Oreochromis niloticus: one gene and its partners. The protein of the gene in region 1 interacts with the protein of each later gene in a biochemical or structural test. Links are inferred from orthologs where the notes say so. Each region holds a gene or a part of one and is shown in the gene's direction. Other genes may lie near its edges.

Region 1 (7,222 bases):
TAACAAGGTTCCAAGTAGAGCTTCAACATGCAACAAGAAGAAATGGGAGTGAGACAAAACATTTTTTGAGCATGCAATTTATTGAAAACAAGGCTTAAACTGAAACAGGCTGTTTCATAGCTGATCAAAAGTTTGGGACCACATGCCTTTAAAAGGCCAAATCTGTGCAAAAATGTGGATTTATTGACATTTTCTGTCAGGTAGTCACACTGTCATGATGTTCTGATGGCAAAGGCAAAAAAACTTTCTCTTTTTGAACGTGGTCGGGTTGTTGAGCTGCATAAGCAGGGTCTCTCGCAGCACGCCATCACTGCTGAGGTGGGATGCAGTAAGACAGTCATTTGGAATTTCTTAAATGATCCTGAGGGTTATGGAACAAAAAAGTCAAGTGGAAGACCCATAATTTCATCGAGCACTGAGCCGGAGGATCCAATTGGCTGTCAGGACATTGGACGATCCTAAACCCAAATTAAGGTGGCTACTGGTGCCGACTGCAGCCCCATAACCATCAGACGGAATCTGAGACTGAAGGGCTTCAAAGACAAAAAACGTCTTCAAAGGCCTCGTCTCCTTGAACACCACAGAACTGACCGTTCAGACAAGAGAGCACCAAACACGGGACATGGAAAGGTGGAAGAAAGTTTTATTCTCTGATGAGAATAAATTTAACCTTGGTGGTCCCGATGGTTTCCAACGTTACTGGCGTGACAAGCAGATCCCACCTGAGATTCTTTCTACACGTCATGTGGAGGGGGCACCATAATGGTCTGGGATCCTTTTTCTTCAGTATAACGATGGAGCTTCAGGAGGTGCAGGGGTGTCAAACGGCCGCTGGCTATGTCCAGATGTTGCAGAGAGCATCCCTCATGACTGAGGGCCTTCGTCTGTGTGGTAACGACTGAGCGTTTCAACAGGACAACACTACAGTACACAATGCCCACGGGACAAGGGACGTCTTCCAGGAGAATAACATCACTCTTTTGGACCATCCTGCGTGTTCCCCTGATCTAATTCCAAATGAGAACCTTTGGGGATGGATGACAAGGGAAGTTTACAAAAATGGACAACAGTTCCAGACAGTAGATGCCCTTCATGTGGCCGTCTCCACTACTTGGAGAAATGTTCCCACTCACCTAATGAAAACGCTTGCATCAAGCACGCTGCAACAAATTTCTGAAGTGATCAACAATAACAGTGGAGCTACTCATTACTGAGTCCATGTTTGGAACTTTGATTTCTGTTATGGGTTTTGTGGAAGTGTGGTCCTAAACATTTGATCAGCTGTAAAACAGCCTGTTTCAGTTTAAGCATTGTTTTCAATAAATTGCATGCTCAAAAAAATATTTTGTCTCACTGCTATTTCTTCTTGTTGCATGGTGAAGCTCGACTTGGAACCTTGTTAAGTTTACAACCATGTAAAATGTGATTTTTTTGCTCACTGGGGCACATTCTTGAACAGTCACTGCCGAAAAACTCGGCATCATTTGAAAAGAGGATGTTTATTTTAAAGTTTATTCTTAAAATTAAAGAGCTCAAAAAGGGGAATGATAGACCATTTACTACTTCATTTAATAATTCTTTCATTTAAATGTCTTTTTTTTGGTTGTTCTTTTATTTCACTGCAATTGAGGTTCTATGTGTATATAAATGCAATTTCAATCTGAGTTTTAATTTAGTGATTCTGTTTTTTTTCTTCTCCTGAGTACATGTTCCCATGAGGCCACCCTGTGTGAATCATCTTTGGGTTGATGACCTTATTAAAATGGAACCAGGCAAATGAACCTCCGCTGTATTAGCAGTGGGTCAAGGCCAAAAGTCATGTTCAACACATGACGTCCATCATGCACCCACGTGGTAGCACGGAGCGTTCAGTGGCCTGAAAAAACTGGAAGCAGTGGAAGTTCAGGCACTCAGTCTGTGAAGATGAGTCTGAGCTACTTGTTGACACATATCCCACAAATCCAATAATGCAATTACAGTAAAGTCACCTAATAAATTCTTTTAAGGTGCATGAATTTTGAAGATATTAGGAAAACAGTCTCCAGCTCCTGTCTATTACATCATACTTCATCACCATCTTGCTTCCCTTTACTCCGAACACAGTGGTTGTTCTACTTATAGTATGAAGGACGTTTTCGTTTTACTGTCCTGGCAGAGATAAGCGTCTGTCCTCCGTGCCCGTCTGTGCCTGCTCCAAACCTCTATAAACACGGGCCTTATCACAAGCATTTACAACTGTCAGCATGCTTGATGAAGCCTGAGGGCTGCTGAGTGAAGTATAGGTCACTTTCCTGAAGGGAAGATAACCCATGCGTCTTATCATGTTTTGAAGCTGCGGTCCACTTCGATTAGGCTTCTGTGAGTACAGACATCGTGTCCCATATGATTGATATGATACTGTCCATCATAATGAGATCACCCTGTGAAAAAAAAAACAGGGCTGTTAAACATTTTTCATGTATTCTTTCAAGGAATGAGTAAAGGCATTGATAACGTAAAACAAATATTCGGTGACTGGTGCTGCCAGTTGTGTCTGGTGTGTAATCTCTTTATTACGGTCATTCACTTTATGAACTGACCTTGACACAGGTACCCTGCAGTTCAGATCTTCCTCTTAAACTTCCAGTTTCAAGCTTCTGGGCTTGTCAGGCTTTTTGGCAAATGTGTCACTAAATAACAATAAATAACGAGGATGGTACATCATATATGGTGGCACCCGGGATCACTGACTATCATAAATGTTTTACTGTCTATAGTTCATGGCACTGGATGTTCAAACCAGAGGTCTTCCACATTGGGTTGTTTGTTTATTTCTTATGATAATAAAATCATTTTCTTATCAGCCCCAAACCTCGGTGCCAGGTACGGGGAAGATAACAAAATAGGATAAATGCATTTAAATGACAAGTGGAAAAGTGTACGACATGTTACGGACGTCATGAACTCCACGTACAGGATTTTGTTGTGCTCCTTTCAAGTTTCATAAACTTGAAAAGAAAATTCATAAAAGTTAGTTTGATATATAAAGAGATATAAGAATGTCACAGACTGAAGTAAGATCAACCTCATGAGTACAATAATTTGCCATGGCCAGTACAAATGTTTACTAGATATTTTTTTCGCAGTACAGTAGTACAGCACGTATCAGGGCAATCGCCGTAAAGTCTGCACACACAGCCAGGGCTGGAAATTCCCTTCACAGTACACAGGAGTTCGACCCAGACTGATCTGGATTTCTTTTATATTGACTTGAGAACATTTTTTAAATATTTGTGTGTGTATTTGTGAAGATATAAGACACACAATTTCCAATTTTATCCCATCTCACAATGATAAAGAACACTTCTAAAAATTCCTGGTTCCAGATTTGCCCTAAAAATGAATAACTTCCAAGGTCAATTTTAAGTAAATCCCTACATACATCTGAAAAAACGAAACACTTAAGCTTCAGATAATAAACCAAAACCCCCAAATTCGTAAAACTCACAAAAGCAAAACCAATAATAAATAATAAATAACAGTTTTATGCAGGTGGTTTTGTGTTTAATTGTAAAAAATATTTTTTGAGGGGTGGTGGGAGAAAAAAAATGTGTGTAGCAGTTGTGTCAATAGAGCAGTTTCTCACACATTAGTTTTTTGTTTTTTTATTGAGTGGACGGGTCAGAGCTGGAGGGCTGCAGGTACGGTGCAGTCTACTTCTTGGGTGCAGACTGAAATATCTCAGCGGTCATTTTGTACAGATGCTGTGGATTCTCCAGCTAATAGATAAACGGCCACACACCCAGTCCAGTCGCCTCAGAATCATCATAATCACCTGACCCTGCTTTAATAGTAAGTCCCCGTGTTACACAAAGCTTGACCTGTGATCCACTAACCAGTTATCTCTGCCTGTTCCCAAACTGCAGATTAATCTTTACAGGAGGGAGGGATTCTCGAGACTGCCAGCGATCTGGACTTTTAGTGGTGTCGGTGTTTTCATTGGAACATCCGTTACAAATACAAAACATGAAATACAATAAATACCACTGGGCAGCTGCGGATTCACCAGTCTGGGTGTCAAAGTACTCCTGGGTGGTATGCTGAATCCTGAGTCCCCCCTGATGTATCCATCAGAGTGTGAGCGTGTGTTTTAGGCACAGATAAAAGTGCTGTGTGGATGTGTGAGACTGTAGAAAGCAGTTTGAATTTGATTTCAACTGATCTATGCAAGTAACAGTCCATTTACCAGTGTGTGATAGTGCTGAAACGCTATTTCTGTACCATAAATAGAACCATATTCAAGGCTGTCCTGTGGTACACAAGAAGGTTTTCTAGCTCTTCTTCACAGGTTTGTGCAGAATTTGTGTTTTAACTGCATGCTTGTAGTCTTTACATTGCAATGTGGCAGTGAAAATAAATGTCTGCTTTCTCAAATATGTGTCCAACCTTTCAACCCTTGTGAGCTGGAGGAGGCTGAATTACAGTTCTCTTATATAAAGCTTCCTCTGGTTAAAATCACAATATAAATAGTAATAACTCAGCTTGTTTAAAAGTCAAGATTCCTTGCCAAATAATTCAGTTTTATTTATATAGTGCCAGATCGCAGCAACAGTTGCCTCAAGGCGCTTTATATTGTCAGGTAAAGACAATAACATCAAGGTGGCTGTTTACAACCAGTTTCCACTAAATTAGAGTTTTAAAATTCCAGCTCTGTTCTGGGATTTTACTCTTTTATTTGGGAAAAAAAAAAACATGAAACACTTTATTTGAAGTTATCTCGCAGGTCAGTGACCCAAGTCTACTTTGGCCTGTTTCCAGTATTACAGGTGTGAGCTGGCAGCAAGCAGGGGCTCACTGTGGGGCTGATTACTTTTTGCAGTCCTTGGTAGCTTGGTACTGCCTGGGTTAATGACACCGGTTACAAGATAAGACCCAGCCCTCTTGATAGCCAGACGTTACTTCAGCAGCTCCTTTTCATTGAGAAAAGCTTATCAGTTTCCCAGGGTTGTTCCAGTCACCTGGCAGAGCACACAGTTGTTTTTCATATGGAGCATATTGACAAGTCAAGGTCCACTGAAGCAGGTTGGGCTGGCCTTATAAATAGAGGGAGACTCCAAGCAGCAGCAGCAGCTGTGCTCACAAGCTCGTGAAGAGCCCATCCTGCCAGAGGATTCATTTAACTGCCTACACAATCTGTGACTCGGTTAAAATGGACAGCGCGTGTCGTTGTTCAACCAGCAGTGATAGGACTTCAAATCCTATCCTGTACAACATCCTGAGCCAAATGGATGGCAGCAGACTGAGCCAAGGCAACTTCAGCTACAATTCAGTGCCTCACAGATGCAAATGTGAGGCACGACGGACAGTGTGCTTGAAAAGGCCGTCGGAGATTTGCAAAGAAGCTTCGGCGGTTCTGGTAAAAACCCTAAATTTCATGAAAAACTTGCCCGCCTTTAACCAGCTGCCTCCAAACGACCAGTTCGCCCTTCTGAAAAGCTGCTGGGCGCCACTCTTCATTCTGGGTCTGGCCCAAGAGCGTGTGGACTTCGAGGTGACGGACATCCCCACTGACAGCATGCTGAAAAAGATCCTCCTGAACAGACCCGAGAGCCCCGAGGTGGAAAGGGAGCAGCCCACTATGGCCGGTGTCAGCAAACTCGTGTCTTGCCTCAAAAAGTTTTGGAGTTTGGATTTGAGCCCCAAGGAGTACGCATACCTCAAAGGGACCACGATATTTAATCCAGGTACATATTCGATGTGTTCAGCTTCAGCTTTCTCTGGTCAGTGTTCGGTGGTTTAATAACGGTGTCCAATATTAAGCATTCATGTAACTTTACAGTTTTGTTTTGTTTTTCCACCAACAGACGTACCAGATTTGAAGGCAGCCCTGTTTGTGGAAGGCTTGCAACAGGAAGCTCAGCAGGCCTTAAGCAAGGTGGTTCAGCTCCTCCACCCGGGGGACGGGGACCGCTTTGCTCGAATCCTCCTCACAGCCTCCATGCTGCAGAGCATCACCCCCAGCCTCATCACTGAACTCTTCTTCCGGCCTGTGATAGGACAGGCGAACCTGCTGGAGCTGCTGGTCGACATGCTCTTCTGCAGATAGGAGCGGTGGATTTTAGAGCTTTTCCGTCTTTGTGAAATGAAGGAATGCCTGATGGTGGGCTGCTCTAAAACACATTTACTATTAAAAAAAAAACTCAAAGAAAACAAAAACTGTGAATTGTTGAAGATGGGGTTATGAATTGCTTACACTGAAAATGATGCCGAGGTCACTGTAGCCCAGTCTGACACGATTTCGTCCAATTGAACTGGATTTGACTTTCTACATTAGGACAGAGTGTACCTACTGTCCATATGTTTGCTTGATCTCATGACGGGAGCTCTCTGTTGTAAATAATTATTGTTTGCATTTACAAAGGTTTTCAAATAAATCTATTTTTTTTACACGAATGAAGAGTGAAATTGTGTGTCAGTCACCTGAAAAGGGAAGCCAAATCAAACATTGAGTTTGTTATATATGTACCAGCTGGAACATCTGATAGTGACAGTCTGGTTTGAACATTTGACCCCTGCACTTCATTGGCAGGCCCATCAGTGATATGTGCAGGACAGCATGTACACATTAAATTCTTGTTGTTGCCAGAGCTCTTAAAAAGCAAATACCTTGAAAATGGGAGTAAAAGGATGATTTTGGTGGTCTTTAAACAAACATTGGAATGAAGTAGAAAACTTTTTTTTATGGTAGTATTTCTTCTTTGATCCAGGAAGTAGCGAGCCTAGCATTTCAACCAGATGCCTCCTCAAGAAAAATGCTTGTCAAGTCATTTTTACCTAAACAACCTCTGCATTAAAATGTCAGGAAATGTTTTACATGTTACATTTAACATGATTGCTTTTTGATTTAAAATAATTTAACAGCTAGAAGACTTTATTGAAAATAGGTTTAGATAACTGTATTACAGAAAAACAAATAGTATCTGAACACATTAAAATGATAGGAATACAAAAGAACTTTGCACTGCTTTAACAAATAAAGACCTTAATGAAGCCAAAAAACAGAAGAAGAAAAAAAGCGTTTACAGAGAATATCTCAGTTCTCTGTGTGAAAATGTCCCGTTGATAGCAAAGGTCAGAGGAGAATGACCAGACTGGTTCGATCTGATAGGAAGGCAACAGCAAGTCAAATAATCAGTTATTACAGCCAAGCTGTGCAGAAGAGCTTTTCTGATAGCAAAATATG
Region 2 (8,933 bases), on another chromosome or scaffold:
ATAAATCACAGTATACAAGCCCTAAGTTTGTAGGCATGTGTAACTATGCAAACAAGTGAGAAGGCTGTACGTGTCATGTCTTTTGTGTTTGCGTTCTTGAAACTGCCTGAACACTTCCACACACAGCTGTACTGTATATGTAGTATGCGTTGCAATGGCACTTCACTACGCTGGTGTGGTTGTATAAGCTTTAGTGTGTTTTATGCATGTGTGTGCATGTGTGTGTTTGTAACTTTCATGTACCCTTCTCCAAAGGTTACCCAGACAGGCTTTTGGTGACAGGCTCCAGAAAGCTCCCTAAACCCAGCAGCTTTCCCCAGCAGCTGGTGCTCTCTCCTTGGCCTCGATCGCCATCACTGCTCCTTCCCTTAACACACAAAATGATTTAGCAACCAAAACGATGACTTTTGAAAAGTTCACTCAGTTCGTCAGGTAATTAGTTTTCATCAAATTATTCGTTTTGCCAGCATGTGGCTGCTATGTGGGAGTGTTGATGTAGGCCTGTAAAATGTTGATTATTTGACCAAACCAAATAGTTCCACCTCATTGGAAATCCAAAACTCAGTCAAACTCACTTGGTCTGAACATGTCGGTTGTAAAGTTAACACCCAATACTTGAACTGCCTTCTCTGCTGCCCTTGTGAGGAGCTGATATTATTACATTACTGTAGTAAGGAAATCTCTTTAAAGTTAAGACATTTGTAGTTGGTTAACTCTGTTATGACTAATTTGAGGTTAAGTGCAATGCAGGAAGTAGGATGTAGCATAGTAATTAGGGCCCATTTAGTTTACATAGACAAACATTGCTGCTATGACACGACTCGATCATAGAAGTCATTTTTAAATATTTAAAAAACATTTTTTAGATATTTATTTTGTATGAATAATTCCAAATATATTCATCACTCCTTTTTAAAAAAAATAATTCTTTATGACTACTACAGTATTTTATTTTCTGATTATCCTAGTGGATTATATCCTGTAATATATAATACATAAAATATATAGCCCAGAGGGCAAGTTTTTTCCTTTGCTGTTTTACACTCACACAGCCTGAAATGAACTGCAGCTTAAACTCAGTGTTTATCTAATAACACCTTGTGACTTCAAACCCTTTCATTGCTATTACAGCCATCAGTCACGTTAGTGACAGAGATGTCTTTTCAAGTCTACAGATCTCTCGCTTTTTCCTATTGGCTTCTCTTGCTCTGTTTTTCTCCCTGTCTCCTTCTCACTCTTCATTGCTCCCTGCCTTTAGCTCTCTCTCTGGGTTCAGGTTGGAGGAGCAGGCAGGGGTCTTTGTTCAAATTGTCCATATCCACACTGTGTTCTGCTGTACCTGCTGACAAAGCTATCAGATAACTTAGCTCCATCTCCCCTGATCCTGTTGGTGGTGTAGCTTTGTATTATGTGTGTGTTTTTGAGAGATGGTGTTCTTTTATGTATTTTTGTTTATTTTTGTTGGCTTTCACAATGAATGATATTGTGACTTAATCTTGCATATTTTTAGTTACATTCCTACAAACAGCCATGGACACACGAGTTGTGAGTCTTTGTGCTGCTGTTGGCTGTAAACTGACCAGAGTCCATAGCTCCCTCTGTTGGCTTGAAGTGAAGTGCAATTTCTTACTCTCACTCTCTCCGTCTGCCTCACCCCCTCTTTTCTACAAAAGCAAAGTTCAGTAATGTGTGAAATTTCCAAATTGCTTCATTTCACTTTTGGTACAGCTTAGCTTTTTAGTCCTCATTTTAACATTAAAATGTCAAATGTTTGTCCTGCTCGTAGTACTTACTTAAACCTACCTTAAATGCGTAAATGTTTATAAAAAAAAGGAAATGTTCTTTAATTATCAAGAACAAATGCTCTGTTTTATTATTGTTGAAAGTACTTTGTTTGCAGTTGTTGCCTCAGTCTAGTACTTTGTTCATGACTGGCACATGTGTCGATGGGTGGCCTGGGGTCAGCTTCCTAAGTGGCCGCGTCTTGAATTTGTTAAAGATTGTTTTGACCAGCAAAGACACACATACAACCGCTCACAATACAGGGCTCTGAATGAACTTGCTGTGGCCTATTGAGTAGTGTGATTGATGTCAGCGAGAGTTGCAATGGATAATTCTTCCATAGATGTCAACAGGCTGCCACCGCAGGGTCAAAACACACACACCCACACACAGATTTACACACACTGGCAGACAAGAGAAGAATGAGATGCCAGCAGTTACAGAGCTCAATAGGTTTTACATTGTAAATGAACTTTTAAAATGATGCCAGCAAGGCCATTTACACATGCATACAATTATTAATTATGATAAAATGCTATTTTTACACTGTGCTTTGACTGAGTTGCATATTTTTTGTTTTTATGTTGTTATTTGCAGTTATATTTCTGCAGCATTGTGCATGGAAATATTGTCTGTTACCCAGCAGTCACATATGCACACATCGTGGATGCTCAAGGTCTCTCCTTGGCTTTTTGAGTTAAAGGTTTGCATTTAAGATGTTTATGGTTTGTCCAGTTATAGAGAAAAGTGGCCTAAAGGGGTCACTGTCAACATACACACACTGACTGAGAGTCAATCAATAGTCTATGGGGGTGGGGAGGATAGGGGTCAGAGAAGGAAAAGAGGAGTGAGGCAGAAAGACAGAAAAAGTAACGGCTGTTATGTGTGTGCACTGGTTGATGGATTTTAAGGAATACAGCTCTGTTTGTGGCGTTGTGTGCATGACATGATGTTATTGTCTCACCATAACATTTTTTTCTGTATTTACATAAAAGGCAAAGCTTTGTAAGGCATCACTCACCACACATGCACAGTGAAAGCTGATTCTTAGACTGCGTTCTTATGTTTTACCACATTGCTGCTTGTGCTTAAATTATCAGTCAGTAGAAATCACTTTCAACACAAACTGCATAAATTAAAGAATCATTGAATATTTTGTAACATAAACTAACTAAAAATTACGCCTCCATAAACGCAACCAGTTCATCTTAGACAAATATTAATGATTTCTGTGTGCGTCAAAACACTGTTCTTCAAATATTTATATAGCCATTCGTTGATATGTTACAACCCACAGACGTTTAGGCTTCTAATTGTTTAATTCAATGTATGATTTGTAGTTCTTATTTTAAATAAATGTGTTAGGCAGAACATTTTGGACTTTCTGCACTGAAACAGAGATTGTGTGTGTGTGTGTGTGTGTGTGTGTGTGTGTGTGTGTGTGTGTGTGTGTGTACTTGTGTATGCACGAGTGTGTTAGACACTGAGGTTTTGGTAAAGGATTTGTTTGCACAGTAGTGACGGCAGCATTGATTCACACTCATCTTTGTCGATGCTTATAAGCCTCTGGATACATCATAACTGTGTGTATGTTTGTATGCCTGCATGTGTATGTGTGTACACAAACCTAACAGCTATATATCTGTAAAGACATGTATTTGAATTCCTATCCTTCTGTGTAAATGGCAAAGGTACATCTGTGCAAGTAGTCTGTGACAATGAGTGTGTTTGTTTTCGTATGTGGTCTCTGGATCTTTACTTTGTCGGCTTCCGAAACAACTTCTAAATATGTATTTATTCTTGTAAAGACCCTGATTGTGCCCATGTGAAGGCAGTTAAGCTCAGTTTCACAGGGTCTTTCAGCACCACAATGTCAAAAAATTCTCCACGTCACACACATGTATTAAGCTATAATCATATTACCTTTAAAATGGCATTTAACTGAACAGTACTATGGCTAACAGGTACTGAGTTCTCCATGCAGCTAGAGTAAGAGTTAGAGCTAGAGTGCTTTATCAGCAAAACCAATACACATATCCTACGCTACACTAAGAAGAATATGAAGAATATTTAGTGCGCTAACCTCAATGTTTTAGTAACAGTTTTTCTGTTAAGCAGTTGAAATGTTGAACATTGGACTCTGTGTTTGTCAAAGAAAAACAGGGAAAGAAAAGGCAGCAGTTACACACACATACACACACATGTACATCAAAGCTGAGATTGGTTTCAGGAAATATTTTATTATCTGTACTATTCCAAAGCTGCTAATCACAACCACTCTCTTTCATCTTTGCACCACCCCCCCCACCCCCAACAACACCACCACCACCTCCACCTCCTCCACCCCCTCCGATTCCATTCTCTGTCTCCCTCTATACTCCACACTTCTCTCTCCCCCGCCATCCCATGTGCAGGGGTACCCAAGTGTTGAAAAAGTCTAATCAAAAGGAGGAAGACGTTAGTTAAAAAGAAAGGAAAGAGGACAGAAAGAGTGCGTGTATCATTCAGAGTGTCCCTACAGGGTTCCGATTTTTCCCCTTTTTACAAGGCCCTTCCCGCTCTCCTTGCATTCCCTTTTCTCTTTTCCGCTGTCTCCTCCTTGCTCTAAAACTGAGAAGCGGTGAGCTAATTTTTCCTGGAGAATCCCAGTCGCAGTACCTATGCTCACATTCCAAGGTGCTCGGAAATACTGGGAATACACAGCCTCCTGGTATAGAGATGAAAGTGAACTTGACAAAACAGCAAGCAGCAGGGAAAACCTTGTTCCAATCATGCCCAAATCATTCCACAACAAAGGACAAGCGCTCTGGAATTGCTATAATCTCATATTTTACTGCTGGGCCGCGATGGGTTCTGCTGCGCTGTGCCTGTGTGTTTACGGTGTGACACAGTATTCAGGCTTTGGGTTCATGGTCAAGCATACACTTGTTTATTTGATCTTGCATTTCTCTGGATTTGATTAGGTCAGTTTTGTGTTTTCCATTTGAGCACAAATCAATATTGGGGTCCTTAAAAGATCCTAATAACATGGTGTTACTCATGTGGTTCAGACCTTATTTGAAAGGATTTTGGTTAAAACTTTTTTTTACATTGTTAGAAATAAATATATTGTCAGTTTTTAATATTGCAGTTTATGTGAGAATGTAATTTTACCAATGCAGGTACATGCAGAGAGCAGGAGTGAGCAGGAGTGACCAGGGTAGTGAGAGACCAGTGAAGAAAGGTCAGAAAGATGGATTGATAAAGAGAGAAAGAAATACAGTAAAAAGGAGAGCAGGTTGTCTTGCTTTAAACCTTTCTCGCACCTGTCTCGTTCTCCTCTCTGCTTCCTCCTTTCCTTCCTGATTCCCTCATTCTCTCTTTTCCTCCGTGCTCTTTGTCTGATCCCTCCCTCTCCACCTGCTCTTCTCCCTCTCTCTCGCTCTCCCATATTTTCTCCACCCCTTTCTCCGCCCCTCCCTGCAGCTATTGGTGAAGCACCCACCAATCACAGCACAACTGGGACCTGAGGGACTACATATGCAAAATGCTGCTTAATATTCATGAGCCGCTATCGGGGCTTTAAGTCGTTGATTAGGACAGCAGCACAGCTTTCTGTCCCAACTGCCTGACTAGCTGGCTGTGTGTGTGCCTATAGCCCCCTCTCTCTCACTCTCACATACACACTGCATACACATGCTCCCTCACTTCTACGCACACACGCAGAGCTGATCAGTCCAGGCAGCGCAGAGCCCGGTAATTGTATTGCTCACTCCAAGTGGAAGGAAGGACCGAAAGAGAAGAAGATCAGAGAAAGAAGAGAAAAGAAGAGAGAGGAGAGATATAAAAAAAAAACTTCCATTTTTTTTTTTGTGTTTAATTTCTTGCCATTTACCCTGAGGAGGTTGACATGACAATGACCCGGTATCGCCGATGGATTCGGTAGGACACCCGTTATCCGAGTGTTTTTTAATGCACTCTGAACAAGAGTAGGTAAATTTTACCTTTTACTCTTATCCTTTTATTGATCATCCAACTTGTCATTGCCATTGTCTTCCACTGTAAGTGACTGTGTGAGTCAGTGAGTGAGTGTATGTGCTGGTATGCAGCGGAGGTGGCCGGCACCGTGTCAAGGTTGTTTCTGCTGTCAGGTAGCACGCGTTCACTCTTGTCTTTGTGTGTGTGTGTGTGTGTGTGTGTGTGTGTGTGTGTGGCTGCAGTATCCGGACAGCAGCTCTTACTTAGTGGGCAGAGGAGCAAAATTTCTGTCCCTTCACCTGAAAGTGAGACATACGCACAAACACACCTGCCTGCAAACACACATTGTTTACTCCATTTTCACTTTCGCTGTTTTCAACAACCACTTTACTTGAAGTCAGACTGTTCTTGGGACAAACTTTCTCACTACATGTCTGCATGCGTGTACCTGTGCATGTGTTTATGCTTATGCATGTGTGGTTTAAGTATGTGTTCATCCGAGCAGAGAATCCGCGAGATAACAGGGCATTAAGGTTACAGGAGCAACGTGTAGGAAAGGGCCCATAAGAGAGGAGGGAGAGAGAAAAGGGGGAGAGCTGCGCTCTTAAATGCCAGAGGAGGTAGAATTTCAGACGGGCAGCTCAGCGTGTGGCCCCGCTCAGGAATTAGAGACAGTCACACACACTCTCTCTCACACTCACACACACACACACACAAACACACGAGTGCTGCTGAGCTGCTCCTTTCGCCAATGCTTTGCTCTTTTAGATGTATGTGCAAAATGCAGATTAAGTGATTGGCAGAGTGGACAGCAGTTTGCTTGATTAGATTATTGTGTGCACAATTATTTAAAAAACAAAATTTGAGCCAACAAACAAATGATTAAAGCATAGCAGTATTTGCTTAATTCTTTTCTTAAACAGGACAAGATAAAAACATTCCTCCGACACTGTGCGTGTGTGATTCAGTAGCCGAACAGACCTTTTTTGTCTGTATGTATAAAATTATTGGCATTCATCTTTTCGAATTTGAAAAGCTCATAAATGAAGCAAAGATTTTATGGTCATATATATATCTATAAATATATATGTATAGATTTAAAACACATGCTTAGATTAAACCCATTTCCACTTAGAACTAAATTTGAATGAGTGACACTAAATCAAAGCCACAGTTTAAGTGTTTTTTTACGGTAGAGAGTCGGAAGTGGGAAAGCTGAAAGAACAAAGTCAGAGCAGAAGCTCATGCAAAATGTTGTACTGTAATATTTCCCAAAATGGTATTCGTAACATTTTTGATGGAAATAGGCAATTTTTCATTTGCTTTCAGTCTTTCTAATCATTTGTGTTTTAAAGCACACATGCCCCACTCACTCGTAAAGCATGTTGAATATAGAGGCATTTTTAAAAGAATAAACGGAGATAAACTGTACCACTACTTTACATTAAAATATTATTTTATTATATTTTTAATTTAAAAATTTGTCTTTTAACTTTCAGTCTGTTTGAATTAAAATGTCATTTAAGCAAATATGAGAAATTGCCCCTTCTGAGCAAGTAAATGCTTAAAGAGCACAAATTAAAATGTATGTGCAGGATTTTTTTAAATGATTATTTTATTATCGTTGCGGTATGACCAATCAAGCTTTTAGAGAGTCTGAGAATATCAGTCATTTCAGTTCCCTTTTTAGAGGGAATAACTGAATTTCCAGCAAAGCAAAATCTGAAGGTTTTAACCCTGTGGATTGCATCTGAACAAGCTTTCTCTACGTTGGTCCTTCAACTGCAAAACAGTGGGGTGGATTTTAAGGACCTGTAACGGCTCAGGTGTAAGAGTCTTGATTTTTTTTGTTTTTGTTTTTTCAGAATAAGACAAAGAATTCAAATTTTTCAAAAACTTCTGAACTGGATTTGCTCCTTAGTGGACAAGAAGTGTGAAAAGTGTGTTTAGACATCAAGCATCAATATGCTCACTGAAAAACACACTTTCCTGATAGACATATAGCATGAGATGTCTCTGCTTTACCTGCGTGTGATTCAGCAAGTGTACGTAAGCTGTTGCCACTCAAACGTTTTCTAGAGAGCCCTCTGGTCCCGTCATCTGTCCGTCCGCTCCTTCACACATCCATTCATCCATCCATCGATCCATCCATCCACCGTTCTCTGTTCTCGGCTCAGGCTTTCCCTTCTTTGCTCTAAGGCACTGCTTTCCTATACTAATTAAAATATTAGGGATAATGATGATCATACTGATAATAATAACAACAAGTACCACTTAAGCTGTTAACATAATTGCATTCCCCTCATGCCACCATATACATAACATTTGCATATCATTAAAATATATTTCCCACAGTGACTTTAGTGATTTTGGTGTTTTTAACAGTGGGTGTGAGGGAGAACGGACGGGTGGTGAGAACTGCACAGTGGCCGATCAGTCAGGCAAAGGTTTTGTAGTGCAGTAATGAAGAGAAGCACAAGGGAGCACAAATGATTTGATTAGGAATTATTCTCCAATCTGATGTGTCTGGATTTAATTCTTTTTAAATACATGAAAATGTAGACGAAAGAAATTATTTGTGATTGTGAGTAAAAAAAAATAAAAATAAAAATCTGTTTCAGGTTAAACATTGTTGAAGTAGTTCATCAGACTAAATTTAGATGTGACAGAAAAACAAACTTTTTTTTTTACTTACACTAGTATATATAATATAATTCAGGCATCAAATTTTCACACGTAATGTCGTGTTGCTTCTTGTTCTGCTGCGACAAATGCCACTGTTTTAGTTCACGTTTGGAAAAGTGCATTGGCCATCATACAGAGATGTACTTTTCCTGATTTCCTAATATGGCAAACTACTTTATATGAAACTGAGAAAGAAATTCAATTGAGAAAAAATCTAACTCGAAGGCCAACCGTCTGACGCTTTGACCGTTTGTTGTTTAAATGTGCGACAGCAAAATATACATATGTTTAGTTATTCAGAATAAAGAGAAAATATGGCTTGCTTTTGATTAGACAATAAAGAGCATTTAATGGTTTTTTCCCATCTTTTTCTTTTCCTTAATCTTAGTCGCTGGACCTTATTTTTCAGCCTATAAAGGGGGATATGCAGCAAAGAGAGAGAGAGAGAAAGAGAGGTAAAGCTGACTGGAGGGAGGGACAGGGGGACCAAAGAGAGATTGCGTAAATTA
Region 3 (8,031 bases), on another chromosome or scaffold:
TTGATGAAGTGTGTGTGTGTGTGTGTGTGTGTGTGTGTGTGTTATACATTTAAGGTCATATATTTTGTGGTTTATATAAATTATTTATTGTTTCACCGTATCGTCTTTGCTGTCTTCAGATTTTGATTGTTTGGATTATAGCTTCCATACACGATATCTTATATCTGCATATTATTTTAAGCACATTTGTCATCTTGCGTATATACGTTTTATGTGACATTTAAAAAATAATATCTTGCATTTCCAATCGAAATTATTTTTCCTTTCATTTGGAATTTTCACTGAGGTCAATAAAGTCATTTGTGAGGCCATGGGAATCAGTTTTGTATTTTATATGATGGGTTGGTGATTGAAAGAGACGTCTCTAAGCATCTCTGGTATATATGAGCCTCATACAGCTGTGCATGCTTTGTTTGTACAGATGAATCAAATTAAAAGTAGTCCACATTTAAATGAAGATAAAATAAATCAGTGAATGAGCAACACTGAAGATGGTTTGCTGACTATTTATTTTTACAAGATACACTTAAAAGATAGTTGCCATGACAGCCAAACATCTAATATTAAAATGTTTTAACCATTAATTAATCAACTATTGAACTGATTTTAATTCACTATTATTAAGTCAGCCAGTAAGTAAAATGTATAAAATAAGAGATAAAAATAAAACATACAACAATGTAAAGCAATAGAATAAAACATAAAACAACAAATGAATTAAAAACCTGTTTGTTTAAAAATGGCTTCAGTTGGTTTTTGAAAGAGTCAGTGGAGTCAGTGGGAGTGAATTCCAGGTTCTCTCCCTGAAAGCCCGATCCCCACAAATTTTGAACCGAGTAAGTGTGGCCAGCAGCAGCAGCCTCGTACCTGAAGACCTGATGTTTGAGTATGTCAGAGATAAACTCGGGGGCTGAGACCATGAAGGGCCCAAAAAGTTCAAACTAAAATTTTCTGGCAACCGATGAAGAGAAGCCAAAACTCGAGTATATGTGATTTTCTGTTGGTGCCAGTTTAAAGTTCTGCAGCAGCATTCTGCAGTCTGAAGACCAACCAAACCTGATTTATTAAAATATAGAAAGATAATAATAATAATTATAATTATAATAATCTTTCAGAATAATCAGAAACTTTATTTTATGCTGAATGGTACCAGAAACAGAAGCACCTTTCAAACCTATTCGTTTACTATCAAAAATGATTAGAAGTGGCTTCTAATTGCTGCTGTAAATATTTGGTATTTAAACAGTAAAACTCTCACATGTGCTTTTCTTTATTCAGGTTCCATTCTGCCTTTAAAGAGACTAATAAAGCAAAATAGGATATTTCAAAGAAGACAAAATTGAAGAGCCCTTCTTTGCATTTCTGCTTGAATGTTCTTTTGTTTGACCCTTTATTTAAAAACCTTTAGACTTTGAATAAATTGTCATGCCAGTGATTCCCCGAAGCCTTTTACGGAGGGTTTCAAGGTGAATGGAAGCCACAACCACTAGTCCTTTTACTGACAAATGACTGCGGCCAAGCCCTTTCCTGGCTCGGTGAATTTGAAGGGGGTGGTGGCTTTCACCACAAACTTAATTAGGTTTATTTATTTGGGTAAAATTTACATTCAGGAACCCTGTGCACATCCTTTATAAGGACACGTAAGAAAGGGCAGAATTGTTAAGGAGGGGACGTTAGGACAAAGTTTCGTGAGCAGCTTTGTTTATCGATCTGTGGGGTGCAGGCCATTCAAATGATGGCTGGTCAGGGCTTTGAATACCTTTGAAGGTCATCAAAGTGTCACTGCTCGCGCACAGATAGTTCACATCGAATAAAATTAGTTTTTCAAAAGACTGAAATTTGAAAAATAATCATTAACATTTTTTAATATTTGATATTTATTGCAAATCCTGTTGATTACGTTTCAAAATAATCCTAAAACAGACGAGTTTTGTGCATATTTGTAGGATCTGGTGGATCTTATTTTTTATCTACTGTAAAAAATGAGAAATATAAACTTTCTAATAAACTTTCTAGCACATGCACATTTCTCCTCTTCAGCAGAAGACTGCCAAAAAGTTTTGGGTGTATTAAAACAAAGCCAACAGGGTGTTAAAATAATTTACTTCCCTGAGTGATTCTGAAAGCCTGACAGCACCAGTGTGTAGAAAGAGTCAGCCTGGAAGAAATCCCAGAGAAATATTTTGAATATATTACCATGCTAAAATAGGCTGTAATCGTTATTAATCGTTATTTTAATTCATTTGGATAAGATACACTTCATGTAAATGCAGACAAATTATGAACTGTACTATACAGAAAAAAATAATATCTACTCTGAGTTTAAATAAACATTGTTCAGTAAAAACAGCTTTATCTTCTCATAATGAAAACAAAACACAGTTTCTGATATCAATAGGATGCAAATGGAGCTTTGCTAAACCCGTGCATTATTTGCATGGCTTGCCTTTAAACTCTGCTATTGTCAGACTTACTAAGTTGGTAAATGTAAATGTGTACTGTAGCACTCAATCACTCTGTATTTGGCGTGTTTGTTTAGAGCCCAGGCATGCAGTTCTTCACAGGTGCTTGTGTCAAAGCAGGAGGCCGGCTCACTGAGGCATCCGCTGGTCAGTGTCTCCATCTTGTGTTCACTTGACAAACTGCACAGAGGAGCACTTTCCCTAAGCTGCTTTAATGGTACCACAGCAACAGTGTGCAAACACTGTGGTGTCTAATGCAGTCAGACTGTGTACTGTGACTGACAGCTGACAGTGACATGATCTCTCATATATTGTGGAGTTTTAGAGAAAGTCCATAGAGGCAATGTTGTTGTGATTTGGCACTATGTAAAAAAAATGAACTGAAGGAGTTTTTTTTTAATAAACTACAAAAAGTAACTAACAACATAAAGAGTTCTATGAGATGAAATGTGCAACATCTGCATGTAGTTAGATTTGATTTAATCACTTAATTGATATATTTTAAAGAAGACGATGATTCAAGGAGAGGAGAGCTGTGCTGACTCAGTGCAGCAGTTTTGTCTGATTGTGGAAAGACAAAGACAGCGATGCAGGAAATATCACTGATCATATGTACAAGTGCCACGAGATGATGTATGCTGTGACGTTTAATCTCAGTTTAGGTTTAACAATGTCAACTTACTGTTTATTGGCTTTTATGCTTTTTATCCCTTTCCATATTTTTGCACTTTTAATATACTAGCTGCTCCTCACGGAACCCCCTAAAAGTGTGTAATTTGTTATTTGCTATCAGGAGATTTTTTTATGTTCTGTTGTATGAATTTAAATGATATCTGCATGAAAAGAGGTTGTTTGTTTATATCGTCATTAATGTAGATGTGTATTTATGGTTTTATGGAGGAACAATAGCCAAGTCTAAGACTGATAGCATCGTTTCATTAAATACAAGCAGCAAGAATACAAAGCAAAAAAACATAATCACACTGAAAAGGTACTGATGATACAGCAGGGAGGAGCCTCACCATGACATGGAGTGTTCAGCATAACATTTGCATATTTTTGTTGACCTATGAAATTGAATTACTTAAGATTATAATATGATTTGTTAGTATTAGTGGAATTAATGCTGTGCCCCCCTTCAGACACCCCTCTGCATCCCTTTCTTCACAATTAAACTATAATCTACTCACACTTATATAGTACCTTTCTAGTCTTACTGACCACTTTTAGACTACAAGTCAAATTCTAACCATATATTCATGTAGCACTTTATTCTATACAATTAAAGTACTTTATCTGCCTCACATCCATGCCCTGTTTTGAAGTTGGATTACCCAGAGGAATCCCACCAGGCACAGGGAGAACATGTGAAATCCACAGAGCCGGGATTTGAGCCAAGAACCTTCGTGCTGTGAAGGATGGTGACAGCGGTAACTACTCCATAACCATGCCATGTCACGGTCATATCAACTATCCACATGGTGATTTAATGAAGGACTCTTATTGGTATTTTACTGTGAAATACTGACAGTAAGAAAAAACTACTCATTTATTAGGATCCTTTCAGACAGTTTTCTTTAAAAGAGAATTGACTGACCCACCACTGGCCCAAAGCTCGCCATCCCACGGATGCTACGTTGGATCAGGCCTTCTGTCCATAAAGTTTGCTCTGCGTGCTTTTGAAGCTTCATGTATTAAATGTTAAATATGAATAAAAATTAAATTAAAACTTGAAACAATAAAAAAGTGAGCTTATATTTTCCTGCTGTAGTGAAATAGACTAAGAACATATAAAGGCATACATACGTTACATACATACATATTATACACACAGTGCAGTGCATATATGTGCAGTGTGTATAACTAATTGCTAATTACTCTGATGTTAAACACAATTATAAAAGCAAAGTATTATTTTTTAAGTATTCATTTCTAAAGGCAGGGAGAAGAGCACTGACAGATGCGCACGGACGCCTCTCACAGCATCAAATACGTTATTACAACACAAACCATGAACCGCGCGTTTGTAATAAACTTTTACATGAGCGGGATATTCGTCCAGGCTGCTGCTCTCAAAGTTCCAGCACTGGTTACAGAGCGGACACACGCCCAAAAACAACACGGCAAGAGTGACAGCGATTCAGCCTATCACCGTTTAAGGTAGGTGGGACTTCCGGTGACATTGACAAATCAGTAATGGCGACACAAGAACAACTTAAACATGTCAGCAAAACAACACCGAGGGGGAGTGAACTTATGGACAGCAGTCATATTTTGAAGAAATATTATAAAAATTTCATCTAATTATCTGCAATTTCAATCCAGCGAAAAGGTAAAACGACTAACGGTGGTTCGGTTTTGATGAATACTGAGGTGTAACTACTGTTAGGAACTGCTAACTGCCCAAACTTTCTGACACGGACGCAGTTCGCTGCATGGAAACCAGAGCCAGCTAACGGGCTATGCTAGCTGACGTTAGCAGATGGCTAAGTTACCCAACGATCGAGCAAAGTGGCAGCGAAAAACGGCCGAATTTAGGGCTTTTGTGAAACCACGTGTTTATAAACGCGATACACAAGTTAAATTATGCATCTTTAAATGTTAACGAGGTCATGTCAGGTGCTCGACTTTCATCTTAACTTTGATTTTGTCTGCATATCCGTTATGGCCACCAGTTTTTTGGGGAAGCCATGATCCAATCAGAGTGGGCTCTACAGTTGATCGAGCTAACGTTACTGTAACTGTACAGGGACGGTCGGAAAACAGTGCCGCTGGTCCTCCAACAGCGTTTATCTACGTGGCGCTGATTGTTATGCATGTTTTTTGTTTTTCTTATAGGTGTTTATGACATCGCTGTGTTTTCTAACGGTGCAGATACGTTTTGCAATCACTATGCAGCTCTATAAGTCAGTCATGCTACGGCTGTTGAGACCCTGGAAATTTCTGGCTCATAGTGACACTTGTAAGCAGAACATAACGTCAGACATATGTCAGCTTCTTCTTTCTATATGAAAGAATCCTTTTATGCAGCCTCGGGTTTTATTATTCTCTGTGCAGGAGAGCTTTGCCTTTAACCCTGTGCCCTCCTCAGATTTTGCACCTCTTTCCACACCTTCGTGGACAAAAATGTACACGCACAAAATCTGCCATAAAATCCTCATACAGCAATAATTTTTCCGCGTTTTCATAAATCACCAACTTTAACCTTTTTGAAAATGAGCAAGCGTTAAATGATTTTCAGAATTTTAACCCTTTAAATGCCGGTTTAAACATTGGAACTACTGCATTTTGTTTTTACCCCCCCCATACACACACATACACACACACACACACACACACACACACACACACACACACACACACAAGACGAATTATTTTCCGTATAATTGATAGAATTGGGGATACGGACATGTCAGACATCAGCAACAAGTCTGATTTGAATGGATTTTTTTTTTTGTGTGTGTAGTGCACATGTATAATCATAATCAGCATACTTTATTAATTCCTAGGGAAATTATGTGGGTTACAGTTGCTCCAGTACAGTAACATTAACAAAAAGACTAGACTATTTAACAATACAATATGTTAAGATATAATAAATAAGGAATAATACACACACAATCTGCCATAAAATCCTCATAAAGAAATATTTTTTTCTGTCTTTAATTTTTCATAAATCGCTTAATCAACTGGACTTTCTCTCAAAGCCACACATACATCACATATTCAAAGCCTGGGTATTTCGGTTCATATTTGTTCATATTTCACATGTTCTGTTGTGTTTTCAGTGTTGTTGCAGTTTGCATAATAAATGTTCCCATTGATGAATTAGATGTTGTTTCACACACACATCCATACAAATCACTCTTGGGGCTCCCTGGTGGTCACAGGAATCCATAATACAACTGGCAAAAATACAAGAACTTCATGCATTGGCCTACTGTGGGGAAATGGTTGAATATGGTGAAAAATGTCAAATATCACTGCTTTTCTTCCAAATAAAATGTTGACATTACAGAATGCATGGTTTTATACTGCGATGCAGAGAGATTAAAAAGTGTTGTTTCAGTGGAAGTGAATGAGGCATTTTTGTCCACGAAGGTGTCGAGAAGGATTATCAGGCACTACACAAAAAATAATAATAATGCAATCATGTTTATAATAATAATGCTGCTGATGTTTGACATGCCCAAGACTCTAATCACCACCAATGTCCTATTCCCATACTATTTATGATATGGAAAATATTTAGTTTATTCAATAAATACTTAATAATTCCAATGTTTAAACTGGTATTTAAAGGGTTAAAATCCTGAAAATAATTTAATGTTGAAATTTTGAAAAGGGCTCAAGTTGATCAAGAGGTTCAGAAAGGGTGCAAAATACATAAACAGGGTATGAATGACATGTAAAAGTAAAAGACACTAAATGTCATAAATTTGACTAAATAGAAGATTTCTTGCAAAAATGCATGCCATGAACCAGAACACAGCCAAAACGATCACCATATTAAAAATGCCCGAGGAACGAAAAAGGTTAAAAATGCAGCTTGCATTTCAATTAAAATGAGATTCTTTAGACATAATCTCTAGAAAACACGTGCATTTACACACTCAAAACATGTTATTATTATGTTTAGAGTTTAAAAGCATATGAAATGCTCCAGAAATAAAAGCTTCTACAAAGTATCACTACACCCAAGAAAAGAGTCATGCAATAAAGAGCAGCTTCTTAGGTTATCATAATCAGGTTTAACTGTCACACAGGTGTTGAACTAACTCAGTGGCTGTTTCCGACATTCTTTTATCACATATAAACATGATTGACGTTGTTCACAAACAACAGTTAACATATTAAAATCCATCTTCTGATGGTATGTGCCTCATCTTGTTTTCATGGAATTAAAATCACATCAGTCTTGTTCTCATTTTCCTCCTCTAGCTGTCTGGTACCTTCACAGGTATTCAGTAGATGTCCGGCCCCTCAGAGACATCAGGTGGTATGTCGCATCCTGGCCCTTCACCTGGGGCGGGTATGTCCCCAGGGCCCATCTTGGGCCCCAGCCCTGGACCAGATCCCTCACCGAGCTCTGTTCACAGCATGATGGGCCCCAGCCCTGGACCCGGAACACCCAATGCACCTCATGGCATGCAGGGCCAGGGACAAAGTGATTACTCTCAGGACAGCATGTATTCTATGCATAAGGTACAGTCTGCTACAAACTATGTCGTGATGTCATTACTGCCATTGAAGTAGATATTTATATCACTCTAATGGATTCAGTTTTTTTAACATTTCGCTTTGCTCACTAATAAACTGACCAAACTAAAACAAGGAAAGGAGGAAAAATTGGGAAGAAATGAAATATTTTATTTATCCATTTTAGTATCAAATAAATATATATTAGCTTAGTGAGGGTATACGGCATTTCTGCTGTCTGATAAATTGTTACAGACATAAATAGTAAGTGTGAATTTTTGCAGTACTTTTATAATCTTTTTATACTCTTGAGTTCATGCAGTGGACTTTTGTCGTGGTATTTTTAAAGATTTTGGCAGTTTCGCAGTAG
Region 4 (8,654 bases), on another chromosome or scaffold:
CATGGCTTGTCTAGCAGGAAATTTAAGACGTACCACGGATCACAAGGCAAAGCTTTGATTAAAGTGATTAAAAGGACTTTAACCTTTAAGACACATGACTGTTAAAAGCATCTGTTGTTGTATCTGTTGAAGTGTGAACTCAACAGATTTGCCCCAGTGTGAAGAACTACACCGTAACTTACAAGATAAATGTTAAATAAGCACATGTGGCACAGACTGCTGCTACTGACAAACGTCAGCTAAGAGGGTCCCACATTCACTAGTCACGCTCTTAGGAAGTTTACAGTATATCACACACTGGATTTTGAAATGTATTCGCACTGAAAATCTATACTGAGATACATTGTGTAATTTTTTGCTATGTCCTTTTTCTCTCAGCATATATATTTATTTTCCTTTAGATGAAAAATACTAAGGCATCCACAAAAGTCTCCCTAACAAATCTACAATGCCAGAAGGCTTACTGTATATCAAAACATTGCAGAACTTTATATCTTACACAGTCAGAACAATATTTACATTTTATGAACACTTTAAAGTAGAAAAATGATCATTTGCCAGTAGCATCACATAAATTTAAGCGAGCGAGGTGTGAATTAATGATGTCTTGTGGTGTTTTATTTAAGAGGCACTGGGTTGAATTTTCTCTTGTGAGCCAGCAGATGGCACTGTGTATATGTGGAAGTGCTGTCAGTTGTGTACTTGTCATTTCTCAAGATCAGCATTTTATCATTTTTATTACACTATTAAAGAATACCTTCCATATAAAAATACCTTACACATCTCTAAAGATGTCTCTAAAAATATTACTTATACATACAGACGTGTGTAAAAACACATATTAATGACACTTTAAAAAAAAAAGTTCTTTGTCATATTTTCCTCATCCTGTTCTTCTTTCATATCCTGCCTTTAATGTCACGCTTTTGTCACACTTTAAGAAGGCGAGTGGTGGAAGGGCCCTTTTCACATGTGCCACTTTAGCCTTTAACATAAACCACAATACTTTTGCGTGAAACGGAACTTTTGTTTTCCTCTCTGTTGTGTAAAGAGGCAGACAGTGTGTTTACTGTATGCAGCATAAAAAATCTGACATAATCAGATGCTTCATCTACATCACAAAGGGTTTCAAGGTAACATCAAGTTTAAACAATTTTTTAAAATTAGAAAAAAGAACCAGTTCTTCAACAAAGTCTGGGAGCGCTTATAACATGACACACACGTGTACAAACAGACACACTTTATATACAGTGTGTGCAGTCAGGACAGAGGAAACACACTTTGCTTTTGGCTCTTGGTCCATGGGGCAACCAGTCAACAGAGATCTGTGGGAACGTCTCCATCACGTTGCTCAAAGGGACATTTATGTGGGCGGCTAACGCACCAAGCAAGCCTATACTAGCCAAATCCTGTTTGTCTTGGTGCTCATCCCAACCTGCTGGAGGGAGAGATGGGAGATTAAATGTTATAATCTAAAGATTTAGTTCATTTGTCATCCCATACATAAGAGCATGGAGGGACAAATCAAGCCAGTTTGTCCGATTTCTTCTGCCGTAACGTTAACTGTGAGGGTTTCAATTTCCTCACTAAAAGCCACATTGATTTTGAGCAGCTTGCACCCCTCGTAAGCCTGAAAAATGACAAGTCTTTTTCACTTTATAATAATCATGACAGCGTAGGAGAGCCCTGTTAAGATACACAAGTACTTTCATGATGAACATTTTCAGATACCAGAGCTCGAGTCTGCAGGGATTCGACTGTATAAACAATCAGAAATTATTGCTTTGCTTTGTTTGTAACAGCCAAACTCTCAGGGGTGTCATTTTTTTTTATCTCTGCAAAAAAAGAAAGAAATTCTGCATGGGGAGGATGTTATGCATGTGAGACAGAGTGAGAGAATGTGTGTGTGTGTGTGTGTGTGTGTGTGTGTGTGTGTGTGTGTGTGTGTGTGTGTGTGTAAATAACCAAAGTGTAGCAGCTGTCTCAGTCCACCATACTGAGTTATAATAGATCAAAGGCAGCTAAACTGAAGCTCACTGTTGCACTCACAGGGTAGCAAAATTAACAGCTGCATTTACCTGCGTTTTGAAACTGTTTTGTTTTTTTTGGGGGGTTTTTTTAGAATTGATTGCAGTGTTGAGCAGTGAGTGGCAGGGCTTAACATCAGTTGCGTTGAATTGCTTCAAAAACAGGTTGAAACGTCTGCTCACACAAATTCTACCTTGATGTTTGAGAAGTAACACCGTCAGGTATCTGTTCACACGTTTGCTTTAGTTTGGTTTTGACACAAATCCCACTACAATTTTTGGACTTGTTACATTTTTATTGAAAGACCTTCTAAGAATTCTAGCATATGCTATAGATTCATATTTATTTGTTGCAATCACAGTGACACGACGACGGTCTCTATTGCAAACCAAAGATTACAGTTTGCTAAAATAACTTCCTGAAAAACCATGAATGCAAACCAGGACATGTAGTTGTGCACATGCTGTTTCAACGTCATAGACAGCCACCTCAAAGCGAGCAGCCCCAACAGGTCAGACTCTGGTCAAATGACCAAAAAAAGGGGGAAGGCAGCTTTATTCCTTTGTGTGTGTGTTTTCTACAGGCCTCTTTGTACTTGTTGGGCTATTGTACATTTCAGCACTGGTAAAAGTTTAAAACAAAATCTAATATGTGTGTTTGTTCATGGATTTTGTTTAGCGAGCAGTACTCATGCAATGGCACATTTCAGTCTGAACACCCACCTGCACCGTGAGTGCTGAGATGCTTCATTCGTAATCTTAAGAATAGCTCCTTCAGTCTGTGGTAAGCAGGGTATTTACAGCAGTTCAACATCCGATATGTAGTCAGATATAACAAAATGTGATTTCAAGATAAGAGCATTAAAAAACACGAACCACATCTGCTTTCAGTCAGCAGTGTAAAAAAATTAAAAGTAGCCCTTAGATTCTGTCATGTCTGGTTTTCAGTTAAAAACAGAGCGAGCTTTTTGTTGAGGTTAGTCAAAGATCCTTAAATCTACAACAAAGTCTAAAAAGATGCAGCACGTAGGCAAATTTACTATTCATTGTGCACCTGTTTTTGCACTGAGTCTCAGCAGGCTAGCTGACTGTCCGGATGGAGTTTCATGAACTAAGTGATGCAGCAGAGTAAAATTTCAGCTTCAGTAAACACATGAGAGGGTCGACAGGATGTTATCTGCTAAACGACACTCGCAGGATTTCCTAGTGAACTAGATGACTTAATTGCACAGTCAAATGATCACCCTGTTGTCTTTCAGCAGGTGAATTCAGTCCTGTCTTCTAAGACCAAAGACTGCGATGTCAGAAATATGACTGTAATCAGCCCGATAGTCATCACTGGTAAACTAAGTGACTAAGAGGGGGGGGGCCCGACAGGCAGCAACAAAACAAGCAACCACTTACTGTCAAGTGACTGCATATTAAAGGAACAATTGACTATTATTGGGGAATGGACTTAATATCGAAAGTTAAATTAGTTGGTTAACAGCTTAGTACAGCTGCTACTTATGAAGTAGTTACAAATTAGCTTTCAGATTTGATGTACACAAGACGTCAGCTTAGAAAACACGTTGCACTGTTTTCGATTAAGCTACCGACCAGTACTCTAAATAAAACGAGCCCCACCTTTAAAAAACTACATCAACAAACCCGTGCTTACACGTGAATGCATCAGTATTAGTGATCCAATAATATCAAACAAGACTAATCCAAGCTATGACGTCTCAATGTGCGCCTTTTTTTCTCCATAATGAAACCTGTCAAAGTTTAAGTATATATAATTGAGTAATGGATTATTTTTATAACTATGCTAGTGAATCACGACATATGACTTACATTAAACTGAATTGAATTTTTCTTGCCACGTTCAACTGGTTATCTTAGTAAAAATAAATAAATAAAAATAAATGTAAAAAAAAAACAAACTTACCAAATAAAGTGTAACCTTACTTGCTTAATCTGCAAAACCAGTATCTAAAAGCCGAACTACTTCTTGGAGGGGAACAATACTTTAAAGAGACTCACTTGTTCCATACACAGTTCCCGGAAAAAAAAAATAGCGTGACACATAGCAGGTAAATGATATACGAATGCAGTTTACTATTGGTGCATCTAAGTTAGAGCAGCTTTTCACAAGTGGTAAGCGGATTTTATTAGTTTTTAACCATACCAAAAGGTGATTTTTTTTCTTTTCTTTTAGCAGTCTTTGGTCTAAGGTAATCCACTGAGCTCTTGACTACTGTTAAAATTATATCAAACTATCTTAACTACCTGCAAGTTAAGTGAATATGTGCTTTGCTGAAGAGGTGGAACTATTCCTTTAAGTTATTTGTTCCACATGGCTAAACACCTAAGAAACAACACTTTTAGGTCTGAATTTTACATTACCTGTTTCTCCCATATGGGGCAAACAACTGAGAAAATCCACTATAATGGGTAATTTGATGCCTCTGCCTGTGTCCTCACGATCCCGATCGGTTGTGTTGAGAGGAGGGAGGAGAGAGAGCGAGAGAGAGGCAGGCTGACACGACCACAGCTGCTGCTGCTGCTGCTTGAGCAGAAAACCGCACAGCAAACACGCCGGACCTCTTTGACGCCGCGCTCCGGTGCGCACGGTGCGGACGCCACGGTTTGTTTGGGTTTTCCGTTGTTTGTTTGGGGTTTTTTTTCGAGTTTTGAAAGAAATTAACAACATCGAAAATAAAAGACAAACCATCCAGCTTCAGAAACAGAGAGTGTGCGCTGTCTCCTCTGCGCCTCAACACACCGATCAGGTCAGTCACCTTCCGGTCGGCACAGTATGCTGCGCTGAGTGTTGCGGTTGTTAGGCTGGGTGAGAAAATACGGGAAAGCACCGTAAAAAAGGGGGGGGGGGTGTATTTAAATTATTGAAGACTGGGTTAATATTACACTGTTGCAGTCTCATCTGATATTAAATATTCGTGCACGTTAACCAAAAAAGACAAAAGAAAACATGTTTGCGGTGATTTGGTTCAAAAGTAGTTTAAACAAGTAGATTCAAGCTGGAGACTTGTTGATTTATCCAGCTGTGTCTAAATCAGTATTGTCCCCGGTCTACATGTTAAGGTGGACACGCACAGGTAGCCTACAGTGTGACAGGATGGCTGTGGCACACAGATTGGGGGTGGCAATGACGGGGGGAGGAGGGGCGGGGGGCGGCCACAGGACTGACAACTGACACAAAGTCAGGTGTTGAGCCATAGTGTGCCTGAGGGCCATAGTGTGAGTGTGAGCTTGACATGCAAACACCAGGCAGAGATTTTACCCATCAAACTGACCACAGCTTCTCAGGTGAGTGCGAGGAATGCTTTGTTTGTTTCTGTGTATGTCGTGCTGAGAAACTTTGTAGAATAAGCATTTCATAAGCATTTATCTGAGTAAAAGAGGCTTTTTACAGGGCCTGTACAGTACATATGTGTATGTGTACTTCTCTGAAGTCTATACCTTTTGTGTCATACGTGGAATTTGTGGATATGTCGCACACGCTTCAGGCAGTTCTGTGTTCTTGGAATTGACAGGAAAATAATGGTGGTGACTCAGCAATATTGTTGACTGGAGCTCAGACTTAAACACTCGTTTCTCTTTGAGGCTTGCTGCGCGGCTCTGTGATAGATGATGTGAACTGTTAAACGTCTCGGTGGTATTCTTTTAAGACTCAGTAATGACACACGGTGAGAAAACTTGTAAGAGCCCCGTGTAAAGCGTAAGAGTGTCACAATAAGTTCACCTGTTTTCCTCATCGCTTTGTATGATCTTCATGTCAGTCGTCTCATAACACTGTGGGGTTGCTGGAAGAACATTCAGAGATATTTTATAACAGCAACAATCACTATTTTATCCATTATATCCTTCAAATCACAACTTTTCGTTCAAAACTTAGTTTGCTATTTACATGCACAAGGGCATTTCAGACATTTTTCATGTGTTTGGTCTGTTTACTTTCCTCTGAGTCTATTAGATGTTACATTTAACATCACAGCAGGCTTATTGTCACAGTATGTTGACCCTCAAAACCAAAAATTGGGAATCAATTGAAGGCAAATGTAAAAACAGCTCCCCAAGTGAGTAAGTACATGTCAGTGGTAGTAAATGAGCTGAAGCAGTCATGTTTTATCATAATATTCAGCAAAGATAAAGATAGTGGAAAATCAGCAGCAATATATTTTTAACAATTAAGTCAGAAAGTCAGAGAAACAGTGTCGACAAAACGGGAGTTATTTTATTTAAATATAGTAGTAGTACATTTTTAAGGGTGATCTCAAGTAACAGATCCTGTGAATTATTAGACATTTAGCAGAATGATCTCACAGATTAAACGGCCATGCAACGTGACCCTTGATGTAATACGGCTATTTTAAAATCAGAGAACTTCTGATAAAATTGTGGGTGAGAAATAAGAGAAGTTATAAAAAGGTTATTGTTTTGTTTTTTTCATTTTGTTGAAGTGATTTCATGTAAGTTTGGTAATACTGTTTGAAAAAGACTTTTTTGTTAACTTTTTGAATCTTTTGTTTCGCTGTGTCTGATTCAAATATTTGTGTCTAAAATCTCCAGGAACTCTTATCAGTTAGAGAAATATATCATATCTTTGGTGAAATTAGCCTTTAATCTCTGCATACGCTGCTTAAAATCTGACTACCCAATTGAGTGTGTTGATACATCATCAATCAGTGCCTTATTGCCTGTCGGGTTATATAACTGCAGAAGTGAGGTGTGTGTGTGTGTGTGTGTGTGTGTATGGGTGTTGGTGTGTGTGAGAGAATGACTGTGATAGATTTGGACTTTGCTTAGTTGCCATAAATGAAAGGAGTGCCTCAAGATACCATGCTATGTTTTTGTTGTCCATCACACGTGCTGAAAGTCTTGTTTGACTTTTCGTAGATGATATACTTCTGCACAAAGCCACAGATACAAAGTTCAGCCTCTTAAAAACACCTCCGCACAGACAATTGCCTTAGTTCTTGAAAATCTGTGTTAATTTAAAATCTATGATGAGAGAGTTGCCGCTCCTCTATGCAGCGGTTTTAAAATGTTGCAAAACTTCATTAAGAGCCAAGCATAATCACTGCATGAAAGGAAAGAAGACAGTCTGCGCATTTGTGTCTGCATAAAATCCATATAAAAGTGAATGGCACGTTCCTATACAGCCCACAGATAATTAACCACTTTTGTTTCTACACCACCAACACTTTGGTTTGTTTACTATATATCAGATTAACTTATTCTTACTGTGTTTTTCAAAAGCGCATGTTTGATTTACTTTTATCTGATGACATGCGTATTTGACGCAGTTTAGCCTTAAGGTCATGTATTTGTTTTTTCAATTGGGTGTAATTATTAACTTCAAGGCCAATCATTTCACCATTTACTGTATGTTTAAAGCAACATTTTGGCTGCGGAATTCTACTGACCGCCGAAATATGGGACACAAGCAGGTTATTTACAAATGAAAAATTCTGCTTTACTAGTTAAACTTTTATGTCTGGATCTCCCTTTCTTTAAACCAGTGTCCCCTCCTCTTTACTGTAAAATTTGTGTCTATACTGATTTTATTTGTACTGATGAGCATTATGATTTACTTGATTTTTAGCCCATTTTTGCAGGGTCGTATTTTTGCATTATTGTATATTTGGAGCTGATCAACATCAACTGTACATTTGGGAAATGTAAAAACGTCCCTCTGCTTAACATTTCACTATTTCTTAGACTGAATCAGAAGATTGAGTCTGAGGTTTAGCATGCTGAATGTGTTAGATGTGGGTTTTTTAATCAATGCAAATTGAGTCGACAGAACCTTTGGCAAGGTAAACTTTTTTGCAACCACAGCACCTGTTATCACTCTCGCAATGATTCCTAAATCACAACAACACCTGCTCCCTGAGAAGTGACTCATGTTTCTCATTTCTTTACATGCTGTCCTAAATAAATCTGTGTTTGTGTGGGAAGAGAACATGTTTTAGCTGCCAAGTGTAAACATGATGCCTTTCAGGTATTTCTCTTCTGATGCCCGCTTAAAATTGCCTCCTAAATTTTAGACTGTGAACATGAGGAATCACGTTTTCCTGGGGCTCATATTAAAGCCCTAATAAAGGCCCTAATTTTTATTAGAGATCTGTTTACTATTGTTTACTATTGGTATTGTCACGGATTAATCTACTGATTGTTATTAATTTAGAGTTCTCTGCAAAAAATGTAGGCATTTTATCCTGAATAATGAGAAACGATTTATTGAGCGTTAAACTTACCCCTGCTCAAGCATGTTAATCTGTTATCAACTTTCACGTGCTTGAAAACGAAGAGACGATATGTCTGGAACACAGTGGTGTTATCTGACATACATCATAGAGGTAGCGAACAAGTGAACTATTGCTTTGCAATAATCGTAGAGCCTTTTAACAAAAGTAATTTTGGTGAAAAGATACACAAGTACAATTTTACCCGGACTTCCGAAAGTTTGGAGTAACTTCCTGGTTCAGCTTTGATCAAACTCATACTGGATGGAATTACCGTGACGTCACCTGTTTATTTTTAAAGTCCCTATTTGAGGCTTCGAGATAAGCATTTTCACCGCTGCCATCTTGGTATTTTGAAACCGGATGCAATGAG

What was found.
Region 2: the proteins of nr0b2a (region 1) and esrrga form a complex in vitro, tested with the Homo sapiens proteins (2 studies listed by BioGRID). The link is inferred for Oreochromis niloticus from reciprocal best matches to the Homo sapiens genes NR0B2 and ESRRG.
Region 3: the proteins of nr0b2a (region 1) and smarca2 form a complex in vitro, tested with the Homo sapiens proteins (2 studies listed by BioGRID). The link is inferred for Oreochromis niloticus from reciprocal best matches to the Homo sapiens genes NR0B2 and SMARCA2.
Region 4: the proteins of nr0b2a (region 1) and pparg form a complex in vitro, tested with the Homo sapiens proteins (2 studies listed by BioGRID, with this or other methods). The link is inferred for Oreochromis niloticus from reciprocal best matches to the Homo sapiens genes NR0B2 and PPARG.

What each region holds. Positions count from the first base shown.
Region 1 is NC_031976.2:7,492,333-7,499,554, forward strand, and holds nr0b2a (nuclear receptor subfamily 0 group B member 2), read left to right. Parts: upstream 1-5,104; 5' UTR 5,105-5,188; coding exon 5,189-5,723; intron 5,724-5,843; coding exon 5,844-6,085; 3' UTR 6,086-6,430; downstream 6,431-7,222. UniProt on the Homo sapiens protein: Transcriptional regulator that acts as a negative regulator of receptor-dependent signaling pathways. Specifically inhibits transactivation of the nuclear receptor with which it interacts.
Region 2 is NC_031965.2:26,539,700-26,548,632, reverse strand, and holds the start of esrrga (estrogen-related receptor gamma a), read left to right. Parts: upstream 1-5,369; 5' UTR 5,370-5,694; coding exon 5,695-5,750; exon of another isoform or gene 5,751-5,754; intron 5,755-8,933. UniProt on the Homo sapiens protein: Orphan receptor that acts as a transcription activator in the absence of bound ligand. Binds specifically to an estrogen response element and activates reporter genes controlled by estrogen response elements.
Region 3 is NC_031977.2:35,623,268-35,631,298, reverse strand, and holds the start of smarca2 (putative global transcription activator SNF2L2), read left to right. Parts: upstream 1-4,640; 5' UTR 4,641-4,794; intron 4,795-7,403; 5' UTR 7,404-7,433; coding exon 7,434-7,667; intron 7,668-8,031. UniProt on the Homo sapiens protein: ATPase involved in transcriptional activation and repression of select genes by chromatin remodeling (alteration of DNA-nucleosome topology).
Region 4 is NC_031970.2:18,929,159-18,937,812, reverse strand, and holds the start of pparg (peroxisome proliferator-activated receptor gamma), read left to right. Parts: upstream 1-5,258; 5' UTR 5,259-5,287; coding exon of another isoform or gene 5,288-5,339; intron 5,340-8,654. UniProt on the Homo sapiens protein: Nuclear receptor that binds peroxisome proliferators such as hypolipidemic drugs and fatty acids.